Linked DNA regions of Tribolium castaneum. The protein of the gene in region 3 binds, or shares a complex with, the protein of the main gene of each other region. Links are inferred from orthologs where the notes say so. Each region holds a gene or a part of one and is shown on either strand. Other genes may lie near its edges.

Region 1 (3,303 bases), on a different chromosome or scaffold from region 3:
TGTCTAAACCGAATGGAAATGGCACTTGATACGAATAAGTATTGCTATTTTTAATTTATTTCCTTTGAAAGTTGCACTCAAAACGTGGGTAAGTATATCTAGAGTTACGTTGCATTGTTAACAAGATTAGGTATTATTTCTGACTGAAACCACTGAAAAAGTGTATCTTATTTATTGCCGAAACCAAAAATTTTTTGCTTGTTTGAAATTGCACTCAAAAAACGTTTATAATTTAATTTTATATTACGTAGAAATAGCTGTTTAAAAACGCTCTGAAGTGGAAGAAATAGTCTTGAAAACAATGTTTTAATTTACGTAACCAATATTACACACGTACATTTGTTATGGACTATTTTAGTCACATTACAAACGATTTCAATAAGGATACAAATTAAATGCACAGTATTTTATTTAAACGACAAGTATTTTTAATCAGTAAAAATAATAATTGCACACTAAAAATAATAAATGCACAGTAAAATAATAAATGCACAGTAAAAATAATAAATGCACAGTAAAAATAATAAATGCACAGTAAAAATAATAATTGCACACTAAAAATAATAAATGCACAGTAAAAATAATAATTGCACACTAAAAATAATAAATGCACAGTAAAATAATAAATGCACAGTAAAAATAATAAATGCACAGTAAAAATAATAACTGCACAGTAAAAATAATAAATGCACACTAAAAATAATAAATGGACTGTAAAAATAATAATTGCACAGTAAAAATAATAAATGCACAGTAAATAATAGCATCTCAAAACTAGAGTGTGTAGAATTTCACATTTCCAATTTTACGTTTTTGAGTTTAATCGTTCGAGGAGTATTTTTCCTTTTAGTTTGCTGGGGCGAAGCCCTAGACTGCAAGCTAGCTACTGAGCGTTTATTATTTAAACTGTGCAAACTGAAACTAGATCCTGTGCATATACGATTTTTTTATTGGGCAAATTTTAAAAAAATACTGTGCGTGGTTTACTTGTCATTTAAATTTTTTACTGTGCAAAAATGAATTAAATACTGATGATTTATTATTTTTTACTGATTAAAATCGAATTTTTTACTGATCGCTTTATTACTATCCTTTCAATAATGGCATTTGAGTACTAAAAAGTACTACCCCCCGGACTGTTTTGTTATAAACCTGCCGGAGAAATAAGAAAAGCGTAACAAAAAAGCACTCAAATCAAACAAAACAATTTATTTAAGTTGATTAAAGTCAAATAAAACTAAAACGACAAAACATTATTGTTTCTCTTGGTTCATAAAATGATTCCTCAGCGCGTCCAAGGCGCGGTACCGATGAGAGATTTTATTCTTCTCCTCTTTGGGCATCTCGGCGTACGTCTGCGTGTACCCCACTGGCTGGAAACACGGATCCCATCCAAAATCCCTCGGCCCCCTCGGCATCACAATCTCTCCATCCGTGCGCCCCTCGAACAGAATCACTTTGCCCCCTTCATCGCCCGGATGATATGCAAAAGTACAAACGGCCTGGGCACTCTTATCCTCATGCCCAGCCAGTAGTCGAAACAGCCCCTCAGGACCCAACTTATCCAAGAACCACTTAATATAAGGACCGGGCAAACCACCCAATGCGTTGAAACACAGACACGTGTCTTCGACGATACACGGCCCCTTGATGATTTCGTACGCCGCTTGGCATTTTTTCACGCAAATATCGGCGATTTCGCCCTGGAGCTCAGGGAGGTCCACTTTTTGACTCACCACTTTGCGTGGGAATGTCGAGCCGAGGATGGCAACCACCTCTTCGAGCTTTTTGGCGTTGCCGGTGACGAATGTTAGCGGTTTCGACATGGTTTTGCGTGAAAAAAACAGGAAGTGGGGTTATGTACATGCCGATTTGAGGTTAGGTTTTTGTCAGCCGAGGCGGTTAAATAAGCAAATTTGAGCCACAAGCTGATAAGGATGAGTCGCAAAGAAGCCCTTTCGTCTTTTATTCAACAAATTCACGCCAGGCCTGTTGTGGTCAAGTTGAATAGTGGTGTAGATTACAGAGGTGAGGTTATGTTTGTTTTTTGTCAATGAAGGGGGCTATTATTTGGTTTTTAGGTGTTTTGGCTTGTCTCGATGGCTACATGAACATAGCGTTGGAGCAAACCGAGGAATACGTCAACGGACAACTCAAAAATAAATTCGGGGATGCGTTTATTAGGGGCAACAATGTGCTCTACATAAGTACACAAAAACGTAGAATCTAATGTATTTTTTGTAATAAAAACGTTTCAAAACTCAAAGTCGTTCATTAAAGCGCACTGATCGATTCTCGTAGAGCTGTTGTATAGCTCAAATAACTCGTTATTTGTCTCACACTCTTGTTTCTTTTTCTTACTTTTAACGAGACTACAGTTCTGATATTTAAATTCATTCAATGTGTTGTCCGGAGGAGTTGGATAAAATTCACAGATGAAGTCCAATTTAATTTTACAATTGAGTGCCCTCCACGTTTTTTCAACATCTAACATGACACAGTCTTCTTTTCTTCGTCCTGGTCTTGGGTGGCCCACAGCCCAGGCCCGAAACCGCGAACATTGCAAAAAGTCCCCCATTGGAGTCTCAAAACTCCCCTCAACCGTAATGTCGTCAAGGCCAACGTATGCCCCCTTGTACCAGTTAGGCAAAGACTTGAGTAACGCAGCTAGTGCGTTCGTCCTTGCCTCAGTCAAAATATCAGCCAGGTCGCCCCCCAAATCCTGGCACCGACGTGCGGCGCTGGAATAATTCATTTTTTCCTGAACCACTTGAAACAAACCGACTGATCTGAGACAAGTTGCGTTCGCTGTGGCTAAAATTCAATTCACATTAAGCCATCCTTCCAACACTCACCCCCACAGTTAAAGTCGCCATAAGCGCTGTAATAATCGTAACTCGGGTCAAAGACAAACGTGGTCGAGTTGTGGACTTCCGGACACCCCAACACCTCGCAACTCCGCGCTTTCTGGAGCTCAGGGGGGCTAAAATTAAACGCTAGCCCGTTTTTGTCCCGCGTGAATTGCATACAATCGCGGACGTTATCGAATTGTTTCCACGACAGTATCGGAAGCGTCGACTTGAAGCAACTCCTTAGTTTGTGGAATTTGAGAAAACGGTGATTTTGGGCGCACATTTTGAGCGCGAGGGCACAAGCCGCGAGGAGCGGAAGCACGCAAGTCGAACGCATGGCGAAAATTACGCTTTTATTGGGAAATTTCGAATACAAAGCACCGGAAAGAGTTAAACTGAGGAGACCACTGATTCGTTCTCTTGTGACTGGGCGTAATCTGCCTCGTTCGAA
Region 2 (3,708 bases), about 6.3 Mb from region 3:
ATAACGAGGTCGAGGCGGGTTTTATTGGAAAATTTGAGACGACACAGGATAACGCATTGAATGAGACAGGAAACGCTAGAAATAGTCCTCCGCATCCGACTGAAAGAGTTTTATAAAAAGACCCATTCATTATGCGGAAAGATGAAGCTAGAAAACAGTTTTATAATTCGAATTGCCAGCTGCCGGCCAAATAAATTTAGACTGAATTAATGGGGTTACGTCAGTTTAATTGACACCTGTCAGGCGAATTGTTTACAAAATTGCAACAAGTCAACATTTTTGCAACCGCTGATCGCTGACCTCCCACTTAATTATTGCACCAATTTCCAAATATTGGTGTTATCAAGATTAATATTCAATTTAATTTCAATCGCTACTGATAACACGCCTGTTAATAATGTGTTAACTTGGGACAAATTTAGGTTATGAGGCAGGTGGTTAGGATAAGCGAAGCGTTTGTGTCCTTACCTAGGTCATCCATGGTAATAAGCTGCCGTTCTAATACTAATTTTAAGCAAAACTTCTCAACTACATCACGAATTATCGGCACTTTTTAGGAAAATGACCTTATTTAGGCATTTTCGCAGAATCACAAATGTCAAGATATGAAATTCCAGACGGTCAGTGTAGGCAACCTTGAAAGAAGTAAACAACGGACGGGCAGCGCCTCTCAACAAGTTTTGCAAAATTTTAAAAACCAAAATTTTTTTCCCGCACAAACCTTGCGAATTAACTGACTGAGTTGCCCCCCGTATCTAAGTGACTTGATAACTGCGTAACGAAAATTACGTTAAGTTATGATTTAATAAAACATGATAAGAACTGATAGTGATAAGGACGTCTAAGAAGACTGCAAAATCCAGCACAAAAATAAAATTAAATTCGTTGCTCTTGTTTTTATTTAACTTTAGTCACCGTTGGTGAAGTCCCTGATCGGGAATCCCCACAACCCAGAGATAAAAACCATAACAAGAAGATAAAGTCATAGACCCCACAGGTCACCGTATATAAATGCAGAAGTTTATCATCTCGAAGGTTACTCGTGTTGTTCCATTAAAGGACGTGCTAATTAAATAAATAATTTTAATTTTGCATACAAGGCAAAGTTGAATATGGGACGAAAGTTCGTGATTATTTTCTCAATTTTGCACCAAATTCTGGCTCGAACAGGTAAAACCACCGCTCAAACCCCATCCATTGCTAAATGAGGTGTTTCCAGAGTCAAACTTGCCGGCAGTGTGCCCCGAAATCGTGAGTCGCACTAGATGGGGGGCTCGCACTGCTTTGGAAGTGGATTACGCCCTAATCCCTGTCGAAAACGTGGTCGTGCACCACACGGTGACCAACACTTGCAGCACTGAGGAAGAATGTGCGGCGATTTTGCGAAACATTCAGAATTTTCACATGGAAAATCTAGATTTTCACGATATTGGATACAAGTAAATTTGATGATTTTTGTTTTTTTTTTTTTAATTATGGTTTAGTTTTTTAGTGGGTGGTGACGGCCAGATTTACGAGGGCGCAGGTTGGCACAAAGTGGGGGCGCACACACGTGGGTACAACTCCCGGTCTTTGGGGCTCGGTTTCATCGGCAATTACACGAGTAGGTTGTTTTTCGTGTTATTTTCGTACTTTACGAGCCTTTTATTACAGCTCAACTTCCAAATAAAAAGCAGATACAAGCCGCTAAAGATTTTCTCCAATGCGGGGTTGAGTTGGGAGAGTTGGGCAAAAGTTTCAAACTGTTTGGGGCCCGCCAAGTCAGCGCGACGGAAAGTCCGGGCCTAAAGCTGTACCGCGAACTACAGAACTGGCCGCACTTTACCAGGTCCCCGCCGAAATAAACTGTATTCTAGTTTTTAAAATAAAATTATTATAAAGCATACGATTTTGAATTTAAATATGGCGCCCATTAGTCGCAAGTTTGAGGTTATGTTGTTTTGATTATTCGAGGTTAGGGAACTAAAAACCGTAAAAATGCCGAATTGGGACCAAATTCAAGCCCAGTTGAAGCACCCAGCGAACCCGGTCGTGTTTTTCGACATTTCCGTCGGAACTACGGTACCAATAACCCAAAATTTCCGAAAACTGTATTTTTCGATTACAGGAAATCGGCCGAATGATTTTCGAGTTATTCGCAGACGCGGTCCCCAAAACCAGCGATAATTTCCGCCAGTTTTGCACCGGCGAGTTCCGCAAAGACGGCGTGCCGTTGGGCTACAAGGGGGCTAGTTTCCACCGAGTTATCAAGGACTTTATGATCCAAGGGGGCGACTTCGTCAATGTAAAAATCACGGGATGCGATTCCGCAACTAATTAATATTTTTAGGGCGATGGGACCGGCGTTATGAGTATATATGGGGGCGGAACGTTTCCCGACGAAAATTTTAACCTAAGACATGACGGTCCTGGACTTCTATCAATGGCAAACAGCGGCAAAGACACCAACGGTTGCCAGTTTTTCATAACTTGTGCAAAGTGTAATTTCCTGGACGGCAAACATGTGGTGTTTGGACGCGTTATTGACGGACTTCTCGTCATGCGGAAAATCGAAAACGTGCCCACGGGGCCCAACAATAAGCCCAAAATCCCGGTCACAATTGTACAATGTGGCCAAATGTAGTAGTGTAATTCAAATTTTAATAATAAAAGCACAAAATAAAACTTAGTTTAAATTTTTATTTTGTCAGGTTGGTGGTCCCATAACCTCACTTGTCAAAAACGTAAATAATCGTGAAATGGAAAATAAAAAAATATCGTTCGGTTTCAGCAAAATTAGTAAAAAGACCGAAATCAGGTCAAGTGTTCCGAAACCCGAAAATAAGATACAGCTAATTGACTGTTTAGAGGGTCAATCAATTAAAATAAAAGGGTATGTTTCGTTTTTGAGGTTATGTTATTTTTGCCAAAAACCTCATTTTAGTGCCGTTGAGGAGACAAATGAGCCGTTGGTGATACCAATCCAAGGCCCATCAAACAAATTAATAGACCAAATAAAAAAAGCGAGGGAAAAACACGTCAAACCTGAAGTTAAAGAAGAGACAGGGGAGGCAAATTCTGTGCCAGACTCTGCCCTATCTCTTGACGAATTAGCGGCAAGAGAGTTAATCCGAGGTACTTACCCTATGTTTCAAGTGATTTTCTAGTGTGAATAAAATTTTCAGAGGCACAGACTCGCAACACTGTACAAAGCGAGACAAAAGTCTACTCCTTGCCTTTAAATGACGACAAGTTTGTGGCAGAGGGGGCACAGGAGTCGTCTCTCGACGACTACGAAAGTGTACCAATTACAGATTTTGGTATGGCGATGTTACGTGGCATGAATTGGAAAGAGGGAATGCCAATTGGGAAAAGGACCAAAAAGTTGGTTTAACTTTTCTAAAACACATCCTGAAAATGATTTTTTCTAGATCTGAGGTCCCAAAAGTCCCAGAGTTGCGCCCCAAAGGCCTGGGCTTGGGTGCCAATAAAATGGTCAATTCCAGCACCCCTTCACAAAGTGTAGATAAGGAGGGTAAAGCGCTCCAGCTTGTGAAGGGGGCTTACGGTAAAATAATAGCCGGCAATCACAGAAGTCAATACTGCCAAGTCCAGGGTCTGGATGACGAAAATTGCAGAGTTATAGTGAAGACAGCTCTCACGAATGAGATTTTAAGCTTAAATGAATTTTTAATTGTGCCAGTCACGAGTGAGGAGTATAATAAGTGT
Region 3 (5,044 bases):
CTAACACTTTGTATTTTAACACGTAAATAATTAGGGAAATGTAACCCTGTGATTGTTGAAAACAAAGTCGCGTGACTTTAAATATTTTTATTGTAAAAAAAATTGTTATCACCTAGAAACTCATATTGGTAGGCCAGGGTTCGGTATCGTTCTGGACAAAAACATCGTCCTCGGAGGCGCTCGTCCCTGGCGACGTGTACGACGTCTCCCCCACGCAGGTGTAGTAGCTCTCCCTTTTGCTTAAAGACACGTTGCGTCCGATGCAACTCAGGCCCTCGGTCGCCCTCTGGTTGGACGGGTCGAGCCGCAGGGCCACGTTGTAGTGGTGGAAAGCCTCGCTGTCCTTGTTCAAATTGACGTAGCAGTCGCCCAGCATCTGGTGGATGCGCGAGGTGGGGTGCTGTTCCACGTGCTTCAGCAGGAGCTGCCGAGCTTGGTCGTACTGCTGCTCCTGCTCGAGCAACTCCACGAGCATACAGACGGCCTTAGTGGAAAACGTCTTGTCTTGGCTCACGGCCTTCTCGAGGAGGTTTCGCACCGTTTTCCCGGACGTCATCGGGTCTTTGAGTAAAACGGAGGCGTGCAACTGCAGTGAAACTATTTTTTGTAATTGTTGTTATTTGAGGAATAAATAAGAAAACAACTTAATGGCGCCTAATCCGTTTCGACACCTAAAGCAAAGACAACGTCCCATCCCGATATTCCTCTCAGATAGCGCATTAGTTTGCCAGATGAAGGCAAACGAAAAAAAAGTGATACGTTTTTAAAATAATTCGTCCCAAAAAAACAGTCTAACAGCCAATTCTCTCTTTACCGTATTACAATTTTTTCACTTACCGTAACCGAATGTGGGCTGAAATTGAGCTGTTTGCACGCATTTTGCGCCATGGAGTCGGCCTCCCTCAGCCGATTCATCTTCACATAGCACTCGACCAAACACTGGTGCAAGTCGTATCGAAACGGACAGATCTGGATCGCTTCCGTGCAATGCTGGGCGGCATCCTGGTACTTGCTGAGCTCCACCAGCGTCTTGGCTTTCAGCAGCAACGCCTCTATGTTTTTGGGCGAGGCACAAAGCGCCTGCTGTGCGAAATAAACGGCTTTTTCGTGCCGTCTCGTCGAAAACATCAGATTGCCAATGACCACCCAATGCTCACTCGTCCACAGCGACATATCCGAGGTCGGGATCAAATCCTCCAAATACTCAACGTGTTCGGAAGTCCCCGAGCTCGCCAAAAGCGTGGCCAGTAAATCGCGACCAAAGACTAGGTTCTGGTCGAGTTTAATCGCCCGCTGGAGGACTGCAATCGCCGTCTCGTCCTCACACATGTAGTGGTAGCAGTAGCCCAGGTTGACCAGCAGCGACGTGTTGTCTTTGAGTAGACCGTGGCTGTCCATGCTTTTGTACGTTTGGGCGGCGTTTTCGAAGTCGCGCGAGTACAACTGGGCTTGTGCTTTGAGCCAGAGGTTTAGCCAGTTTAGTTCGGAAGTTGCCTCCACCATTAGTGCGTTGACTTCGACCCCTTTCACCCCCAGCTTGAGCAAGTTCTCCACGGCTTCGAGGGCCAGCGGGCACTCCCGGAGCACCTCCTTGTAGCACGTTATGGCCGAGCGCTCCATCCCGGCCTCCCTGTACAAGTTGCCGAGCGCCATGTTGACTTTGGGGGTCCGCAGGCGGGCCTGAATCGACTGCAGCATCTCGATGGCCCCATTCACCTGCTTCAGGGCCATGCAGCACTTGTGTATCTTGAACCTGATCTCCACATCGCTGGCCAGTTCGGGCTGACTCTCCGTGATTTTATTAGACATTGACTTGGTTTTTAAGAGGTGTTTGCGGAGCTGTAAGGCCTGGCGGTACAAACTCTCGCTTTGGGCGAACTGTTGCGTCTCGTACAGCGAATCGGCGTACAGCAACATCACCTGGAACTTCTGCAAAGGGGGCAAAAAGTCGGGCTTTTGCTCGGACGCCGACAGGGCCAAGTCGCACTAAAAGCACAGTTGGGGGCTCAGACTCCCAAAAGGGGGCTACAAACCACTCGGGAGATGTTCGAGTGCAGGGCAAGCTCGTACATCGCCTGCAATTGCTTCAATAAGTTGGTCATCTTGGCTTGGCAAATGTGGGGTTAGGTTTTTGAACTCGGCAAATCCCGTAACGGCGAAACCACCAATCCGGATTTCGCGCACGTCAAAACGTTGCATTGACGTTGTGTACGGTAGGTATTTCCTTCAAATTTTGTAAAAAGGATGGGTTCTAGTAGCAAAAAATACAAAGAAAAAGAGAAAGAGTCTCGTAAGCGGCGCCACCACAGCCCCGGCTACACCGACGAGCATGAGCCCCCGAAGGAGAAGCGCCACCGCCACAAGAGGCACCACAGGGACAAGAAGCGCGACGCGAGGGCGAAGCACGACTACGACAGCGACGGTAAGCACCCCGCGTCCAACTTTCCCGTTTGAATGATTTTTTGCCAGGATCCGACGTGATCGAGGTGATTCCGGACGATGAGCCTTCGGGCTCCGGGCAAAACGCTGAGAGTCTCTCGATTGAGGAAACGAACAAACTGCGGGCGAAGCTCGGCCTGAAGCCGCTCGATGTGAGTTCGGGGGACAAGTCCGAGAAGAAACGGGATGACGGGAAGAAGAAGGACGATTGGGGCGAGTTTTACCACAAGCCGGCGGAGAATTGGGCGGATAAGCACGAGAGGGAGAAGCTGAAGGGCAAATTGACAACGATTCGGGAAAAGCGCCAGCTGGAGAATAAGCTGGGCAAGGTGAAGCTGCTGGGGGACAGTGATAGTGATGATAATGTGGAGTCGTGGGTTGATAAGAACCGCAAGATTGAATTGGCCAAGAAGGAGGCTGAGAAAAGGGCGAAAATGTTGGAGGAGTTGGATGAGCAGTTTGGGGTCAGCGAGTTTGTGGAGAATGAGAAGAAGGAGAAGAGGAAGCAGAGATACACTGAGAGGAATTTGAAAGGGCTGAGGGTGGAGCATGATGTTGATAGCTTTGCTGAGGAAAGGGATGTTATCTTGACGCTGCAAGACAAGGGCGTCTTGGATGAAGACAAGGAGGATGTCCTGGTCAATGTCAACATGGTTGAGGACGAGAGATACAAAAAGGTAATTTGTTACAAATATTTACAGTGAATGATTATTTATCATCAAATTTCAGAACGTTATAAACAAGAAGAAGAAGATTTTGTATAACGCCTACGAAGACCAGGAGTACGACGAGTTTGGCAACCCCAAAGAAAAGTCGCTTTTGGCCCAATACGACGAAACAATCGACGGCGAAAAACGCGAAAGCTTCAAAATCGGTTACGACAATGCGGTTGAACGTAAACAAGCAATCGTGCAATCAATTAAGGAAAAACTCGCCAAAAAAAGAATCGAATCGATTGAAACAAAAGATTTAAAACTCGCATCGGAATATTACAACGACGAGGAACTGTCCAAATTTAAAAAACCCAAAAAGAAAGTCCGCAAAATCCGAACTAAGGGAAAACTGACCGCTGATGAATTGGAGCAACAAATTAACAACAAAGGCATCGAGGAAGTCGGCTCAAGACGCCCAAAGAAAGAGCTCGAAGACTTGACCATTGACGACATCCCCGAAATGGAATACCCCACGGACGTCAAACTCGAGGACGAGAAGGACGATCTCTTGGAAAAAGCGCTGCACAAGACACGCAAAATCAAACAGAAGGAGAACCTCGTTGCTGAGATTGTTAAATCAACGCCGGTTAAAAGCGAAAGTGAGGAAAACCTGGAGGGGAGTATTGTTCTGAACGCCACGGCGGAGTTTTGCCGCACTTTGGGCGACATCCCAACGTACGGCAAGTCCGGCAACCGCGAGGAAACCGAAGATTTGATCGATTTCGAGCGTGATCTGAAAGACGAGCCCGAAATGGACGAAGTCGAGCAGGAGGAGAAAACCGGCTGGAATTCAGTCGATCCAAACGAGCCGCACGAAAGCCCGCAAATTGCCCCACAAGAGGTGCAAATCCTCGACGAAGAGCCTGATGTCAGTACAGGGCTTGGGGCAGCTTTGAAGCTTGCAATGAGCAAGGGGTACCTGGACAAGGAGCAGAATAAGAGGCCGTCGAATTCGCGGTTAGCGCATTTGCAAGCCAAGCATTACTCTATCGAGGACAAGACCTACGGGGATGAGGGCGATCGCGCGAACCGCCGGGAGAGGTACACTGGCCCCATTATGGAGTTTAAGGAGAAGGATGGGTTTAAGCCCAATGTTAAGTTGGAGTATATCGACGATGATGGGCACGTGTTGAACTCGAAGGAGGCCTTCAGGTATCTCTCGCATAAGTTCCACGGGAAAGGGCCGGGGAAAAATAAGATCGAGAAGAGGATAAAGAAGGGCGTGCAGGAGCAGTTGATGAAGAAGATGAGTTCGACGGATACGCCCTTAGGGACTTTGAATATGCTGCAAGCGAAGCAGAAGGAGACGCAGTCGCCGTATGTGGTCTTGTCGGGGAACAAGCAGAGCCAGCAAACGGCGGTTATTTCCAAAAGTCGGCGTTAAGTAAAATGACTAAGAATAAATAAATACTATAATTTTGTGTGAACAAAATTCAGCGCTACTCTAAAAAGAAGTGGCAATTTTAAATTAAGGAAAACTGGGCATCATTGTAAATTGTATAAATTGTTTCATTTTTATCAGTTTTTATTTACAAAGTCCTAACGAAAAGTGTTACGAAATGTTTTTGTTTTGTAGATCGTTTTTAAGGGACGGGTACGATAATGATAATGGTTTTATGAATAAGTTTTAAAGTCTGGCTCCCTACGAGTACAAACGGTGTAATAATTTTTGCGATAAATGAAATGAATTAAAAGTGAGTTCCGTGTTTTAATTAGAAATTACCAATTTCCCATATTTTCCAACAAAACGGTAATAAAGGAAAATATTGAACAGAAAGTTATAGTTAATTAAAAAAATAAATGGTTGATGACCAGCTCTCGACGTGACCTTTCACGTCACTTCCGTGAGCACCATTATCAGTCATGATTAGGATAGGGATTGCACGGTAATC
Region 4 (3,653 bases), on a different chromosome or scaffold from region 3:
AATAATTAATGAAAACTGAACAAGTGGACAAAATAAGTTCTAGTTTCAGATTTTTTCCGTAATCCACACATGTTTTCAACATGTTGGTGCGCCAGTTTTTGAGCGTCCTGTATATTATTTGTGACATTTACTTTCCTAATTTTTTTTGTAAATTGACTACCACTTTATTTAATGTAGCATGATCAATTCTATAGAAAGCCTTTCTTATTCTTTCCTCTATATTTTTTGTGGTATTTGATCTCGTTTTATTTGATAAGTTTGTGGTTAAAGAGGGTTTGAGATTAAAAAAAATATGAGTTTTTTTGGTAATGTTTAAATATTTTATTATCTCTTCTTCCGGTCTCTTACCGAAAAATGCAAAATGCAGAGATTATAAGTTATTTAAACGAAGTGATTCAATGAATTTAAATTCCTTAGTCGACTTGAACAACCATTTTTGAACAGTCTGTACAAGTATACCTTTTTTAAAAATATTTCTTGTTTCGAAGAATAATTTAAAAAAAAATTTATTTCTTCTACAATGACCTCATCAGAGCAGGAACGGACAGTTTTAATATACCTACGAATTAAAAAATAAACTTGTAAATATTACAACTTACTTTTTTTAATCTAGTTTGTAACTAATTAGTTTAGCCAAGTGTTTTCACTGTTTTCACTGCTTGTTGCCACAAAAAATTAATAATTATTGAGTCACACTAATTTATTATTAATTTCATAATCCAATTTTATCCTTTTTTTTATTTAAATTTCATAATCGATCGTTCACTGGTAAATAACCACCTAGTCTTTTAACATAATTCAAAAAAGTAAAACTAGAAAATTTGTATCCAAAAATGACTTTTTGTAAATTTTTTGGGTAAAAATGGTTTTATTTAAGTAACATTTTAATAAAATTGTACTAATAAACTTGTACTTGCAACGTAGTCATTTGATAACTTAAAACTAACCGGAATTTTTCAGTTCTTTCGACAGAGGTCAGAGTTGCGACCGGACCCGAGATCTTGCGAAAATGATTATTACTAGTTTTGTGTTATCTATTCTAATATTGTAATAAATAACATAAATTAATCAGTAACAAGTGTTTTTCAAATACTTTAGGTAGGGGAGAGTGGGGTTATTATGTACAGTGAATAATTATGCCCAAATTTCTGTAGGTTAACCCTCTTATCCTATAATCTAATTTTGCCCATTATAATCGTGTCCACATAATTTCAGCAATTTTGAAGCCTCACTCAAAAACTGTCAAACTAAAAACGTATCTTTCTCATGTTATAGTTATAATTTAGGCGAAAACAAGTCAAAAATTACTTTTTTTAACTTTTCAGATAAGTATTTTCTAACTTCTTATTAACATATAATTTATATAATCGACCTAATCTTAAATTTTTCTCCGCAAAATGTATTCATACAGTGGAACCCCTGTCACCCGAACGGGGATAAACCGACTCCACCAATTATTTTGTTCAATTTCAAATTTTGAATTCGAAAAATTTTTATAACACGAATTTTTGTTTAATTAATTAATTAACTAAAAACACGCAACTAATAAAAATTAAGAACAAGAACACTAGATGCACTAGAGAGAGTTGAGATTTTTAAGGTAAACACTTTGTTGGATTAGTTAAAAAAATTGCTCATATTATAATAACAGGAATCACTTGAACTCAACAAAAGTATTATTCCACTGTATTCTACAAAGATGATTTGAAGTGGCAACGGCCTATTCGGGTGATCGAAGTTCGACTGTATAAAGCAAAATATTTCATTGTTACTACGTGCCAATAGCAAGGTTATTTTGATAATAGCTGTGATAATAGTAAATAATAAAGAATTGTTTTTATTTTCAGAGTCCATAATTATCTGCAAACCTATAAAAAAAATAACGATTTAAAATTGGCGCCACGTAAGTGGCGCTCCCTTCGCAAGTTTTCTTGCCATCTCTTTCTTATATGCTCATTCTCTTTCCCTCTATGGAAGAGGGGGGGTAAAAAAACGTAAGCCAAGCGTGTTTTGCCGGCATAATATAAAAATTGTCTTAATTACACCAAAAATATCAACATGAAATTAGTAAGGTGAGAACGTAAACTACTGATTGATCAGACACGTTTTTATTTCCTTGAATTCCAAGTAAAACTCCTGAAAAACCACCTAACCTAACATTTCGGCCATTTTCAGGTTTTTAATGAAACTGAGCCATGAAACGGTCACAATGGAGCTGAAAAACGGCACACAAGTCCATGGCACTATAACCGGTGTAGATGTGGCCATGAATACGCACTTAAAAGCTGTAAAAGTGACTGTAAAGAACCGAAATCCTGTGAACTTAGACACCCTAACAGTTAGAGGAAACAACATTCGTTACTACATTTTGCCCGATAGTTTACCCCTCGAGACTCTGCTGATTGACGACACCCCCAAAGCCAAGGCCAAGAAGAAGGAGAGCGCCCGGGGGGCTGCCAGAGGCCGCGGGAGGGGCCGTGGCAGAGGGGGCCCCCGAGGCAGGGGCAGAGGGAGAGGGCGTAGATAAGAATACGTTCATTAAATTAAGTTTCGTAATTGTAAGTGTGAATCTTTTCGTTTAGTTCCAGTATTTGTAAAACTTTTATAATTCTGCTAAATTCATCAATAAAACATATTTAGGTTTAAAATGTCTTTGTTATTAAAAATCGGGACCTTGTACTAAAATGTATAAAACGTAAACTGTGAAACAAACAAAACAGAAGGCGGCTACAAATGCGAATGATTTTCGATTGTGTCTGTGGAGTTGTGAAAGTTGGTTTTCGTTTGTGGTTAAAAGTTTGCGAACTTCTCGTAACTCTTTCTTCATGTCGGCTTTTTTCTCGTTGGGGATTTCATCAGATTCGATCTTTTTTTCTAAAAGTTGGACCCTCACGTAACAGGCTTTGATTGCTTCTTCTGTTTTTGTTATCTACAAATGGTTAAATGAGTTTGGTAAAATTAACGTTTTACTGATTACCTCCTTCATGACGGAACATTCTCCTAAAGATAGCCCCATTTTTCGGGTGGTCTTAAACACTGACTATCAATACAGAAACAGATGGACTATCACTTTATTTAACCTCAATTTTTTTTATATTAATAATTATTTTACAAATTTAGGAACATTCTCTTACTTTCAATACAAAAAGTTAAAGCTAAAACATTATCACTCATTCAGATTTGAGATAAGAAATATTTTCTCAAAATCAAAATAAATATAGAAATTGCTTGCCATCGAGTATGCAACCAACATTACAAGCCTGCATAACAGTGATGTCTAAATTAAAGCTTTTTTGGTATTTATGTGCTCGATTTTTGGTAATGAATAAATTTGGGTTCATTAATTTCTTGGTACCTACCAATTTACAGGTCAAAAGTCTTCGATGCAGAGTTTTCTTCATAAAAACTAATAATAGATAATGAGATAAATAACTACAAAATTACTGTACAAATTGCTCCTTTTTGCTCGAACTTTAATACGGCCCTGAAACTTTACAAATACCAACTTTGTTTTATATTTCCGACAAAAATAACAAAATGCAACCAATGGAATTAACTTCAGTTGTTCTGACGTGTAACTGTAACTGAAAATTACAAATTTTATTTTTATTTTATTAAGTGCTATTATTTAAAAAATAAATACCAATTTCTCA
Region 5 (5,280 bases), about 6.1 Mb from region 3:
GTCGTGATTGTTGTCAATTTGTTCATTAACTGCGGCCAATGTTTTTATTTATATTTTTTCCTTTTTATTAAATATTCATAAGAAATGTGTATAATTTATGGATATTTTCACGCCCACGCTATATTTTATACCGTAATTCGCTTTTGTTTTTGCATTGTTGATTAAGTTTTTCTCAGATTTTATGAGCTTATTCAGAGATGATCTTACAGTTTTATTTAAATAGCAGGTTAGTTTTTAGAAAGTAACCTTTTCCAAAGTTTTGTTTCGAAACATATTGTTTGTATTGGTATTGGTATTTTGTTCATTTACTCAGGGCCGCCACGAGAAGTGCTATTTTATTTGTTATCTGTTCATAAAAGGTATATATTAGCTATTTCAAAATTATAAAAACGCCAACGTCGCATTTTCTCTCAAAATTATAACTAATGTAATTTATACTTTCAATGAGAGATCGAATCGTTAATAACTATTTTACATTTCTATACTTATTCAAATTAAGAAGTAATAGAGATTTGTGGTGATTGTGATTAACTGATTACTGACTAGGTTCAATAAATAAAGGAACAAATATTTATTTATTAGAAGAATTTTAAGTTTGACATAAAATGTATGTATTAAAATGACATAATAAACATTTTCGTATATCCCAAAACCTGAAGAGTTTTTTAAAAAACTGTACTTTTTTAACCCAAATTTACAAATTGTGTAACTATACTGTAACTTTATATTCAAACAAATTAATACTGTGTGATTTTCTAAAATATTGGTCTAGTTATCCGTGACAGTTACGTTAACCCGATCTCCATTACGGAAATAAGATTCCAACATATTTTTTTTGGTTCTTCGGTGAACATTTTAGACATATTGACAAATAAAGCGATGCTAAAGTTATTTATGCAAAATGTTTCATTGATGACGTATCTGTCATGGATAACTAGATCAGAATTTTAAAAAGTCGGTTGGTAGTTTATTATAATAAGATAACAGATAAATTGCTTCGATTTGAAGCATTGAACTATCGTAGATGCCAAATAATTTTTAATTTTAAAAATGATCGCTTCCCTGTTGAATAGAAAACGGGTAATGAATAGGAATTAAATTATTTATTAAAAGATTTTCTAATATATTTTGTGGGTTTTTGCAATTATTTTCTAAAAAATGAATCTTAAAGCGTTAATTCCGTTAAATAAATCGGAAACCATTTTTAAGCTTTACGTGTAAGTCTTTACAATTTTTTGCTGTCTAAATCTTCTTAAAAAATTGAAGTTATTCACAAATACAAATGCATCGTTTTTAAAAAGAAGACACAACTTGATCCAAAATTTAATAAGAAAGTAAATTTTTTAAATATTTCTGTCATCTACCACAACTTCGTTAAGATGAATATAAGGTGTTCGTTTGTAGTCAAAAAGTTTTATTTCTTTTCTTCGGCATACAGTTTTATTCAATCCGGTTTTATTAAAATTAGTTGGTGCTTTGGCGTCCTCTGACTCCTTTTTATTTTTATTTGTATGCTTTTTTCCATTTATTTTTGTTTATTTTTAAAAACAACTATCTTAATATTCTAATTTAAAATGGTATTTAAAAGAGCTTTTGGCGAAGCAAGTTTGCTCTTATGTTCTTATAGTTATAGTTTTTACCAAAAAGTTGACTAAAATAAAAAAAAAGTTTTTTTTATTTAAATAACATGGCTTGAAACTACAATAACAACTGTTTTTTTAGTGATATATGTGTCCGGAAAAGTACTCTTTCACGGACTATATTCCGTCCCTTCACTAATTAATAATTATATTGTTTTTTTTCATTATCCCCAAATTAATAAGCAGATTATTATAGACAACCAGTAATTCAGCCCCACATTACAAGTAATCTATGGACACTTGTCAATTTGTAAACTGCATTTTTCTAACCTCACTTCCAAGTGTTGTGTGAACGTTTTGGAGTTACGTTTTTAACTCGCTAAAATGTCTTTGGCCGACGAATTATTGGCTGATTTGGAAGAAAACGATCAAGATGATTTGGAAGAAGCGATGGAAGTTGATGAAAAACCGGACATCAAAGAAGAAAAACCCGACGTTAAAGACATCCAGTTAGAGGTAGACACAACTCAAATAACTTCAGTCCGAGAGTTGTGTAAATTACGGGACTCGCCCCATTTACATGAAATATTGAAACAAATCGAAGACCATGTGAAGAAGAGCCGAAAATACCACGACATCATAGGACCAGTTGAGTTGGACCCTGAGTATCAACTGATCGTCGAAGCTAACAACATTGCTGCAGATATAGACGCGGAAATTGGTAAGAGTTACGATTTTAACCAAATCAGTTGAAACTAATCTGTTTTATTGAAGCCACTGTCCATAAATTTGTGCGCGACAAGTACCAGAAGCGGTTCCCCGAGTTGGACTCCCTTGTTGTTGGTCCTTTGGAGTACTTGAAGACCGTCAAAGAGCTCGGGAATGACTTAGACCAAGCCAAAAATAATGAAATTTTGCAACAATTCCTAACGCAGGCAACTATCATGGTTGTCTCAGTCACGGCATCCACGACACAGGGGATTCTCCTAACGGACGTCGAAAAGAAACAAATCGACGAAGCTTGCGACATGGCCATAGACTTGAACAACTTCAAACTGAAAATTTACGAATACGTTGAGAGTCGGATGGCTTTCATCGCCCCCAACTTGTCGGCGATTCTTGGGGCTTCGATCGCCGCCAAGCTCATGGGGGTTGCCGGGGGTTTGACCCGATTGTCCAAAATTCCGGCCTGTAACGTGCAATTGTTGGGCCAACAGAAGAAGGCATTGTCTGGATTTTCACAAGTGAATATGTTGCCGCACACTGGTTTCGTTTATTACGCAGATATCGTGCAAAATACTCCGCCTGATTTGAGAAGGAAGGCTGCCAGACTTGTTGCCACTAAATGCACGCTAGCAGCACGTGTGGACTCGTGTCATGAGAGTAAAGACGGACGTATTGGGCGGCAATTACGCGACGAAATTGAACGAAAACTGGACAAGTTGTTGGAACCACCCCCAGTTAAGTTTATCAAGCCGCTGCCGAAACCTATCGACCAGTCCAAGAAGAAAAGGGGCGGGAAAAGAGTCCGCAAAATGAAAGAGAGATATGCGATGACTGAGTTCAGGAAACATGCCAATAGAATGAACTTCGCTGATGTAAGTTTGGTTTTTCTTGTATTAAATTTTTCTAGTATTGAAAATATTTCTTACATTGAAAATTACACAATATTGTTAGCCAATCTACTGTTGAAGCAGCATTATAGTTTCATTAGATTTTGATAACATACTAGAGATCACAATCTTCTTTGCAAAAAGTTTTCTATGGGTTTGATGAAAATGCAGTTTTATTATTCTCTTGATACTTACAAGACCGGTATCAATAAGTTGTAACGAATAAGCGAAACACATAACTTCAGGTGTACCCCAGTGCTCAGTTTTGGGCCCAATCCTTTTTTTAATTGGGGTGTTCGATGTTTTAACGAAATAACTCCAGTTTTAGTCTTTTTGAGAAAAATATAGAAACGTATGCTATAAAATTTTCTCTTTCAAATGCAATAACTGGTTTTGTAATCGATTGATTTATTTTAATGTCATTAAACAGTAACAGTTGTTATAACACCGAAAATTTGTGGACATTTATTCAGTGCAATAATGAGATAAGTCCATCAATCGTTTTTTTACTAGTCTAGTGATTATTGTTAAATATAATGTATTAAAGCTTCCGTATTATAACTTATGTCAAAATAAGTTTAAAAAAAATAGAGACAAAAATGCAGTAGTAACATTGAATTGAGTTAAATTTTCACGGGTTTTTAAAAACCAAACGGCTTTCAATTTGAAAAAAAAGCGGTTTCGTCTGTAATTCTGTACTGCATTCCTCCTCTTCGCGTTTTATACTAATTTTTATTTATTTATTTTTCAAACAAAATCGATTACCATGATACTGAATGGAATCAAATAAACAATGATCTAAAAAGAATAGCCAAACATTGCAGTAATGTTAACTTAAAACTCAATGAAAATAAATATTCAGTCTTATACTTTGCATCTAAAAGTTGTAAATATTTTGAAGAATAATATATTAATATTTATATTATTAGTAATAAATTAAACGTTCTTGCAAAAAGAAAATCTCTAGGACTTACATTGACAGTGGAAAACACATTATTCATTATCAAAAAATGGTTCATCTCCTTGAAACTCTTACGTTCTAATTATCACATTCAGATTTCAAATTGAGAAATAAACTTATTGAAACTTTGGTAATTCTCCTTTATCTATTATTGCTTTATAATCTTATCCTTGTTTAAATGATGTTGATAGTTGAAAATAGATTATACAAAATTCAAAATATAATGTTATATATACAAAATTCAAAATATAATGTTATATTTTGAATTTTGTATCTTTGGCTTAAAAAAAATGTGATTACATTTCTAAGGTCGAGTTGTATCATCTTTAGTCCTGATTTAAATCCCTAACAATTATTCTCATAACAATGGCTATGGGTTTAATCCTGAAATTTTTTATACAACTCGACCTAAGTGTGTTTCTGACTTAATGTTGGAACTTCGGGATAAGATACTTGAGACTTCTAATAAAAGTATATTTAATATGAAAGTAAATCGAAATACAAAATGACGGAATTGATAAAAATATACACGGCACACTCTTATAAACAAAACTGTGGTTCACACGGAAACGAAACGCGACTCGTGAAACTTAGATGTCCAACACTTCCCCTCGAGTCGTGTGTCGTTAGAATGAATACTTCCAAAAAAAAAAAATTCATCCTTCCACTAAAACTTCTGGCAACTATCCTAACTATTGATAACTTGTAGTCCCGCTGCATTTACACTCCAAATATGTTTTTGTTTAGCGAGTCCTTTAGTTAGGAAATCAGCCACTTGCTGTTCTGTAGAGATATGCTCGAGAGATACTTGCTTGTCTCTCAAAACTTCGCGTACAAAATGGTGACGGACATCTATGTGTTTACTTCTCGCATGAAAAACAGGATTCTCAGCAAGACGTATTGCACTCTGGTTATCACAATAGATTTTTACGTCAGCCAGTTTGTCAAATCCCAACTCCTGAATGAATCGTCTAAGATAAATGGCCTCTTTGGCACACTCTGCCATGGCCATGTACTCAGCCTCTGTTGTAGACAGAGCTACGGTACGTTGCTTCTTGGTATCCCAGGAAATTGCACTCCCGTTCAGCAAGAAGATGAATCCCGTGAAAGATCTACGGTCTTCAGT
Region 6 (3,599 bases), on a different chromosome or scaffold from region 3:
ACGGAAATGCAATTGGTGGAATAATCATTGCCAATCCACCTGCTGGAATTCCCTAAATTGGGATGTCGGTCGTGCTTTTGGTTATTTAAGCTATAGAAAGTTGTTGTTAGGTTGGTAGCTAGGTCTAGTGCGGTGCTAATAATCTTTCTCTTATAAACCTCATTTTTTGTAAATTAATTGTCAGTGTCAAAAATTTTGGAATTATGTTGGAACCCTGCCACATTGACATAGACGACTAATTTTAAATGGAGTTGCCAACGTTGAAACAATTTGAAAATTGATTTTAATTCCGAATGGACTTTAGCAACCAGTAATTTTATATACGTGCTGATTCTTTTAGAGCCTATATTACAAACTTTTTAACTTCTAACATAGGTTGAGCTTTAAAATTTTGTACACGATTCAAATCGATCACTCTGAGTTAAAACTAAATTATTTTCAAGATGGCTGAACTTCCGGAACTACGAGAAATTGGCGACAACTTTGAAATTTTAAATGGTGACCACCTATTTTTATTGTGTTTCTGAATTCGCCTTTTGAAACTGAGTAAAATGTAAACCTAATTGTTAGTACTTATCTGTCTTAGTTTTTGAAATATGTCAAATGTTTTGATAAATTTTTTATTTGCAGAGGTTTATTTAAAACATCATAGCTCTTGAGTACTTTAAAATAAGTGAATAATTCTTTTTGCATTTGATAACCAAAGGCTCGAAGGGTCTTCTGAAATCTTTACGATTGTCAACTGTCAAATTGCAAGGCTACTATGATATTTTGAAAATGATAATTAAAAAACAATTATAGAACAGTTTTTTTAAATGGAATGACTTCAATGGCAATCAAAAGAACATCAATTTTTATGCAGACTTATTAACATCTTCTATATCTATCTCTTACAGTTTTTGAAATAATCTCAAAAAACCGAATTCAAGGTAATTATTTTCATTTTTAATCGAGTAACCTTTCAAAAAATACGATAAAATTGTACTAATGATTAACAGAAATTTTAAAACTGTCCCCCATTTTCACTCAAAAAGTTCAAAATTCGATGGCAAACTGACTGAGTTATTCACTAAGTTAGCATAAACCATAATTAAATATTAATGTTTTGCTGCTTATTTGATAATGAACCAGCTAAAAACTAAGTAAAGTGTCGAAGTTTGACAATTGTTGACCATTTTGCAAGGTCTACTTGATTAACTATAAAAATTACGAAGTAAAATCCGTTATTTGTGATTTTTTCAAAAACTGTAACAGGTAAGGTACAGGACGTGTTGATAAAAATCACCATGAATATTGTTCTTTCGATTGCCGTTAAGAAAATAGAGTCGATCCATTTGAAAAAACTGAATTATAGCCGATTTTATTTTTAATAACCATTTAAAAAAATCATACTAGCCTTGAATTTTGACAGTTGACAATTTTGAAAATTTTAGAAAACTTTTCGAAACTCCGATAATCGAATTAAAAAAAAATATATTCACTTCTCCTAAACGGTTCAAAGGCTGTGATAATTTAAATAAACCCTTGCAAATAAAAATTTTACCAAAAAAATTGACATATGTAAAACTAAGACAGATAAGTACCAACAATTTTAATAAATTTTACTCACTTTGAGAGAGTGAATTAAAAAATGTAATAAAAATGTTTAGTTACTCTTCAAAATTTTAAAGTTGGCGCCAATTTGTCGTGGTTCCGGAAGCTCAGAAATTTTGAAAATAATTTAGTTGAATTTCAAATAGTCGCTTTTAAAGCACTAGTTTTTTTTAAAGTTAAAAAGTCTCTAATGTAGGTCCTAAAAGAATCACCCTGTATAATCTGCCGATTTCTAAGTGTTAGTGAGTGTTAAACTATGCATGATCCCTAAAACGAGTGATTGTATTATTTTAAAAAGTAAAACGCGGTAATAATCTGTGGCTTTAATTAAAAAACAAATTTTTTTTAGATTCAAAAAAACACCTTCCGCCCGAATTTTATTACATGCCAAGACCGGTCTGTCCGAATATCGTTAAAATCGAAAAAGGTGTTCTTATTGTGGCGACACTGTAACGACAACTTAACCTAACTTTTGGCCTGTTTAATTTAATATTACAAACAAGTATCATCTTTCGTGAGAATGGCAGATGACTTAGAAAATGTAAGACCCATTTCATTTAGAATTACATTTCACCTACCACTCCTTTCAGATTCCCTCAATCACCGTCAAAGAACCGCTCGATTTAGTGAGGTTAAGTTTAGACGAACGTATTTATGTAAAAATGCGAAACGATCGAGAAATCCGGGGCAGACTCCACGTAAGTTGTCTAACAAAGTTCCATCCATCACAAACCGAAATTCCAGGCTTATGACCAACACATGAACATGATCCTGAGCGACGCCGAAGAGACCATAACCACGGTTGAAATCGATGAAGAAACATATGAAGAGGTTTACAGAACGACGAAACGTAATATTCCCATGCTTTTCGTCCGAGGTGACGGCGTGATCTTGGTCTCACCCCCAATGCGCACTTCGTAAATAAAACACATACGTTGACATGATGTTTATTTACCCATTAAATATCGTATTTTACAAAGATTTCCTGATAATTGGTTAAAATATTAAAAAGGAGTATTAGGATAGTACGAGTTAAATAATTCTCTATACAACTTAATTTATAAATAAAACGTTCATTACAATATGTACATCTCAACCCAAGTCAAAACCATCCACTGTAAACGCAATCTAATAAGCTTATCATGCAATGCCTCAATAATACTGGAAATTTGGCATATTGCTAAAGTTTGCTCGTTAAAAATTGAAAATTCGTTGCTTCAATACACTTGACTAGCCGTGCTAGCCTTCCTTCTATGTCACGCCGACGTTTCATTTTCGCCCCAACCCTCACTATCACACTCCGAATCGCTTCCTGAATCCGAATCGCTAAACTCGACTGCAACCCTCCGAGCTAAAATACTCGCAACATCGTGGAAACCGTTCCCTCTCTCCACCTCCTTCTGTTCAATCTTCTCCACCTTGCGCAACTTAATCCCATCTCGGATAGCTTTGAGTAAATCATTCCTGGGATCGACGATAGGCGGCGCCTGCTTTGGCCGATCTTTGACAGGTGTCAATTGCGGCGGCGACGCACTATTTATAATTTTCGCCAAATCGCCGTTAACCAATGGGGGACTAGTCGTCGGGCCGTTCAGTAACGGCATTGGTGGAGGTGGTGGCGGAGGCGGGGCTTGTGGAGTTTGTTGTTTGGGGGGCGAGGCTTGCTTAGGTATGGGCGGTGGTGGAGGTAAGTCTTGCACCGGTTCGGGAGGTGTGGCTTGATGCGGACTGTTTGAACGCGATTGGGTGGCGAGATGTGCGGGGATGCCGTTGGGCGGTGACATGGTCGTGTCGGGTGGTGGGGGCGGTGGTGGTAGGTTGTCGCGGCCGGAGAGGCTCCGCCCTCGCGTCGGGGTATTGGACGAGGGCGTGCTCGTGTTGCTAGGTGGTGCGGGTGGGGGCTGGCTTGGGCGGACTTTACCGCCTCGTGTGGGCGTGCCTCCTTGGTATAATGATTCGGAACTGAGTGGGCCTTGGCCATACTCCTCGTACGGGGGGTAAGTGGG
Region 7 (3,508 bases), on a different chromosome or scaffold from region 3:
TGCAAAATGTTAAATAAAGAATACAGTTATTTTCAAAAGTGTTTAGACACAAACGATACAGTCTGGAATTTTAAAATTCACAATAAAATAAAGAGTTCCTACTTTTTGTTACTAAGTTTTGTTTTTCTGCCTTTCAAAATAGTTGTGGGACAACTCCCAAAAAAATCGTTGAATAATAATACTAAATGATAAAATAAAAACAAGCAATCATGGAAAAACTCGTGTCACGTAAATTACCCAAACTGTCACAATTTCTAGTAAATTACAGTACAATGGCACCGTATAAAATCGTAATGGTCCGTCACGGCGAATCAGAATGGAACCAAAAAAACCTTTTTTGTGGTTGGTACGACGCAAAATTGAGCGAAAAAGGTAAACAAGAAGCGGCAAACGCCGGCAAAACCCTCAAAGACGCCGGCTATAAATTCGACCAAGCTTACACTTCGGTCCTAAGTCGAGCACAAGACACTCTTCAGATTATCTTAAAAACGCTAAATCAATGCGATATTCCCATTCAAACGACATGGCGTCTCAATGAGCGTCATTACGGCGCATTAACCGGCCTTAACAAAACTGAAACTGCCGCCAAATACGGCGAACAACAAGTGGCCATTTGGAGGCGGAGTTTTGACGTACCGCCGCCCCCCATGGAAAATGACCATCCACACTATAAAGACATCGTATGCGATCCGAGATACAAAAACGGACCGCCTCCTGAACAATTCCCCAAATTTGAATCGCTCAAATTGACAATTGAACGAACTTTGCCCTTTTGGAACGAAACTATTGTACCACAAATTAAAGCCGGGAAAAGAATTCTGATTGCAGCGCACGGAAATAGTCTAAGAGGAATCGTCAAACATTTAGATCAACTTAATGATGAACAAATAATGGGACTTAATCTACCGACTGGAATTCCATTCGTTTATATGCTGCAAGAGAACATGAAACCAGCACAGGGAGGCAGTTTGCAATTTTTAGGCGATCCAGAAACGGTCAAGAAGGCCATGGAAGCCGTAGCCAACCAAGGAAAAGCCAAATAATTATATACAATGTTATTTTCTATAAACAACGATTTGCTTAATAATTATTATCATGTTTGTGTAAACAAATGTGCTGAGTCAGTGATTCCACGTCAAATTTGTAAAAAAATATTGGCCACCTTGACGTTTGCATTTAACGGTCAATCGGATCAATGTTGCCAACTTGAATTAAATAATAGTTACCTGTAAAAAGCTGAGTTCAAAGCGTATCAGTGTGATGAACATGAAGGCGAGTAAAATACGTCCTGTCAGTTGCAAGTAATTTTTAGGTTTGTTTTCGCCTAATGAAGGTACACCTGCAAATAAACTCTTGGCTTCGCCCCTACTCTCAGCCAAGACTAGTAAAAGTGCACCAATTAGAGCGAGATTTCTGAATAAGAATTGCAAATCCCATAGTATGCTGTATGCTAAAGTCTGCAATCAATTTTTTGGTTTTTGGTTGTTGATTTTTTTGAGACTTACTTGTAAAACAACAATAAAAAAAAGTACACCACACGCAATAGCTACTTTGTATCTTATAATGACCATCACACAACCTCCTAACTGACCAATCAAATTGACTAAAACAAAAATAGTGGCTAGAAATTTGCCACAACCCCATGACATGTCCATGTATTCCCTTTGTTCGGACCATTGGAACCACATTCGTAAACCATCCTCCAAAAATGTTGAAATGAGACATAAACGAGCGACAGTTGGAAGAATATGTTTTAGTTTTCTGATGACCTAGAAGAAAATTATTGCTTACAACATATGGAACGCATAAAAAATTGCACGTAATGGCTCAATTAGTACGAAAAACCTGTTGATTATTTCTCTTTTTGTAAGAAAGTTAAACGGGTGACGTGACATTTATCGAATTTTTGGAAATTATAAATGATCTTGACAGAAATTTTCAAATATAACGAAGTAAAAACATTACTTGTGCTTTTCACTAGCGAATATTACCTGATCTGCTACATCTTCGGCACTTGAAATGTATTCATTTGGAATATTCATTTTTGATTGTAGAGAGCCAAAAGCTCCACGCAGACACGTAACTTTAAATGAACTACGCAAACGAAACGAACTATCTACCCACGATAGTTCAAAATTTCTAACAGTAGTTCAGCAGTTACACAGTCAACTGTCAGCAGTGTGACTTCTAGCAAATTCCATAATAAATAAAAATTAACAACATTAGTGTTTGCACACATTTTGACTGAAATTTTTCAGTGGTGAAAATGATTGAAATAACGTGCAACGACCGTTTGGGCAAAAAAGTGCGGGTTAAATGTAACCCTGATGATACTGTCGGTGATTTGAAAAAACTTATAGCTGCACAAACTGGCACTAAATGGGATAAGATTGTTCTGAAAAAATGGTACACCACGTTTAAAGATCACATTCAGCTTCAGGATTGTATCCTTTCGTACAGTTGCAAAAAAAATGTTCCAATTTATTGCCATTTTCCTTAATTTTAATTAACAGATGAAATCCATGATGGGATGAATCTTGAACTGTATTATCAATAATTCACCATTTTTTAATTTTCTATTATAATAAATAAAAACCATAGGTTAAGAATAAAAGTCTTTTATTAAATTAATAATCAAACAAACGTTTTGGTATTGCAATATCACACAAAAAACCGATTTCTTTTTATAAGTACATAATTCACAACCTTAACACAATTAAAAACCCTGTAAAACGAGTATATTTGCTGTGCAATAAAGAATGAATAAAATGGCACAAGTGATTTCTAATCCTAATTCCTTTGGCGTTTTAAAAATTAACTGAAGTAAAGCACTAACTATGTATTTACATAAAGAATGAATCTTAATGAGGTCGTTTAAATTGGCCGTCTCCTCCAGAATTGACTTTTTTGGCTGGTGAATGCACTGGTGTTAGATTTACAGCAGCTGCAGCCACTTGAACAATTCTTTCCTCAGATGCCCTTTGTCTGTTACTTAAAATTTCTCTGATATGTTGCACAATTAACTCGATGGCCACTGAAGAACAAAAAAAAAACGTTACAGGTTTAATGCATAGGTTTATTAAGAAAGCAAAACACAATTTTTGTAATACATCAGATCCAAAAAATAATACGTTTTTTTAACAATTGACCATGTTGTGCTAGTTCCAGTCTTATACAATACCCTTATTAGAAAAGTAAGATACTTTGGTTTTAAACTGGTATTAAAAGTTAGTAAAGTCGTTACGTCCGACTTTGTGTCGATGGAATGGACTTGTAGTTATTTTCTCGTTCAGTCCCATGCAAAATATCCCAGATGTGGTGAACTATAAGGTCAATAGCCACTGCAACATAAACATTGCCATGAAATACGACAACGATATAGCATGCAAAAAGAAAAAACACCAATTCATGACATTTAAGTGATGTAAGGTGATTTTATGGTACAGAAATGATTATTGCAGTGACTATCACCATTCACCAAAAGCATTTTCAATAAAAAAATTAAATG

The links.
Region 1: U4/U6.U5 tri-snRNP-associated protein 1 (region 3) and U6 snRNA-associated Sm-like protein LSm6 share a complex: the UniProt entries of both Homo sapiens proteins name them as parts of the U4/U6-U5 tri-snRNP complex. The link is inferred for Tribolium castaneum from reciprocal best matches to the Homo sapiens genes SART1 and LSM6.
Region 2: U4/U6.U5 tri-snRNP-associated protein 1 (region 3) and peptidyl-prolyl cis-trans isomerase H share a complex: the UniProt entries of both Homo sapiens proteins name them as parts of the U4/U6-U5 tri-snRNP complex. The link is inferred for Tribolium castaneum from reciprocal best matches to the Homo sapiens genes SART1 and PPIH.
Region 4: U4/U6.U5 tri-snRNP-associated protein 1 (region 3) and SmD1 share a complex: the UniProt entries of both Homo sapiens proteins name them as parts of the U4/U6-U5 tri-snRNP complex. The link is inferred for Tribolium castaneum from reciprocal best matches to the Homo sapiens genes SART1 and SNRPD1.
Region 5: U4/U6.U5 tri-snRNP-associated protein 1 (region 3) and Prp31 share a complex: the UniProt entries of both Homo sapiens proteins name them as parts of the U4/U6-U5 tri-snRNP complex. The link is inferred for Tribolium castaneum from reciprocal best matches to the Homo sapiens genes SART1 and PRPF31.
Region 6: U4/U6.U5 tri-snRNP-associated protein 1 (region 3) and LSm3 share a complex: the UniProt entries of both Homo sapiens proteins name them as parts of the U4/U6-U5 tri-snRNP complex. The link is inferred for Tribolium castaneum from reciprocal best matches to the Homo sapiens genes SART1 and LSM3.
Region 7: the proteins of U4/U6.U5 tri-snRNP-associated protein 1 (region 3) and ubl are in contact, whole or in part, in a crystal structure (PDB 4PYU), measured with the Homo sapiens proteins. The link is inferred for Tribolium castaneum from reciprocal best matches to the Homo sapiens genes SART1 and UBL5. Residues at the interface, in NP_005137.1 of Homo sapiens: Ser117, Leu118, Ser119, Ile120, Thr123, Leu126, Arg127, Leu130, Leu132, Lys133, Leu135; in NP_001041706.1 of Homo sapiens: Met1, Glu3, Arg15, Lys17, Cys18, Asn19, Asp21, Asp22, Asp26, Lys29, Leu30, Ala33, Gln34.

The regions. Positions count from the first base shown.
Region 1 is NC_087398.1:10,390,650-10,393,952, forward strand, and holds U6 snRNA-associated Sm-like protein LSm6, read left to right. Parts: upstream 1-1,889; 5' UTR 1,890-1,937; coding exon 1,938-2,028; intron 2,029-2,081; coding exon 2,082-2,230; 3' UTR 2,231-2,254; downstream 2,255-3,303. Other genes in the region: inosine triphosphate pyrophosphatase, read right to left, coding at 1,254-1,826; uncharacterized protein LOC100142353, read right to left, coding at 2,255-2,814, 2,856-3,189; adenylate kinase isoenzyme 1, read right to left, coding at 3,243-3,303. UniProt on the Homo sapiens protein: Plays a role in pre-mRNA splicing as component of the U4/U6-U5 tri-snRNP complex that is involved in spliceosome assembly, and as component of the precatalytic spliceosome (spliceosome B complex).
Region 2 is NC_087395.1:17,966,048-17,969,755, reverse strand, and holds peptidyl-prolyl cis-trans isomerase H, read left to right. Parts: upstream 1-1,898; 5' UTR 1,899-1,977; coding exon 1,978-2,061; intron 2,062-2,107; coding exon 2,108-2,284; intron 2,285-2,329; coding exon 2,330-2,623; 3' UTR 2,624-2,668; downstream 2,669-3,708. Other genes in the region: peptidoglycan-recognition protein 2, read left to right, coding at 1,113-1,170, 1,220-1,439, 1,485-1,603, 1,654-1,844; G-patch domain and KOW motifs-containing protein, read left to right, coding at 2,739-2,872, 2,924-3,114, 3,165-3,363, 3,411-3,708. UniProt on the Homo sapiens protein: PPIase that catalyzes the cis-trans isomerization of proline imidic peptide bonds in oligopeptides and may therefore assist protein folding. Participates in pre-mRNA splicing.
Region 3 is NC_087395.1:24,228,721-24,233,764, forward strand, and holds U4/U6.U5 tri-snRNP-associated protein 1, read left to right. Parts: upstream 1-2,244; coding exon 2,245-2,422; intron 2,423-2,469; coding exon 2,470-3,116; intron 3,117-3,168; coding exon 3,169-4,536; 3' UTR 4,537-4,850; downstream 4,851-5,044. Other genes in the region: APC7 (anaphase-promoting complex subunit 7), read right to left, coding at 113-586, 838-1,986, 2,034-2,102. UniProt on the Homo sapiens protein: Plays a role in mRNA splicing as a component of the U4/U6-U5 tri-snRNP, one of the building blocks of the spliceosome. May also bind to DNA.
Region 4 is NC_087394.1:7,019,852-7,023,504, reverse strand, and holds SmD1 (probable small nuclear ribonucleoprotein Sm D1), read left to right. Parts: upstream 1-1,917; 5' UTR 1,918-2,058; coding exon 2,059-2,072; intron 2,073-2,175; coding exon 2,176-2,527; 3' UTR 2,528-2,648; downstream 2,649-3,653. UniProt on the Homo sapiens protein: Plays a role in pre-mRNA splicing as a core component of the spliceosomal U1, U2, U4 and U5 small nuclear ribonucleoproteins (snRNPs), the building blocks of the spliceosome.
Region 5 is NC_087395.1:18,106,925-18,112,204, forward strand, and holds the start of Prp31 (U4/U6 small nuclear ribonucleoprotein Prp31), read left to right. Parts: upstream 1-1,869; 5' UTR 1,870-1,964; coding exon 1,965-2,301; intron 2,302-2,354; coding exon 2,355-3,178; intron 3,179-5,280. UniProt on the Homo sapiens protein: Involved in pre-mRNA splicing as component of the spliceosome. Required for the assembly of the U4/U5/U6 tri-snRNP complex, one of the building blocks of the spliceosome.
Region 6 is NC_087399.1:10,143,168-10,146,766, forward strand, and holds LSm3 (U6 snRNA-associated Sm-like protein LSm3), read left to right. Parts: upstream 1-1,976; 5' UTR 1,977-2,113; coding exon 2,114-2,134; intron 2,135-2,183; coding exon 2,184-2,291; intron 2,292-2,337; coding exon 2,338-2,514; 3' UTR 2,515-2,532; downstream 2,533-3,599. Other genes in the region: SCAR (actin-binding protein WASF3), read right to left, coding at 2,850-3,599. UniProt on the Homo sapiens protein: Plays a role in pre-mRNA splicing as component of the U4/U6-U5 tri-snRNP complex that is involved in spliceosome assembly, and as component of the precatalytic spliceosome (spliceosome B complex).
Region 7 is NC_087397.1:131,244-134,751, reverse strand, and holds ubl (ubiquitin-like protein 5), read left to right. Parts: upstream 1-2,141; 5' UTR 2,142-2,266; coding exon 2,267-2,444; intron 2,445-2,513; coding exon 2,514-2,557; 3' UTR 2,558-2,614; downstream 2,615-3,508. Other genes in the region: phosphoglycerate mutase 2, read left to right, coding at 210-1,043; Surf4 (surfeit locus protein 4 homolog), read right to left, coding at 1,227-1,457, 1,506-1,769, 1,992-2,042; Uck (uridine-cytidine kinase), read right to left, coding at 2,862-3,034. UniProt on the Homo sapiens protein: Ubiquitin-like protein that plays a role in cell proliferation and sister chromatid cohesion by associating with spliceosomal proteins. Participates thereby in pre-mRNA splicing by maintaining spliceosome integrity.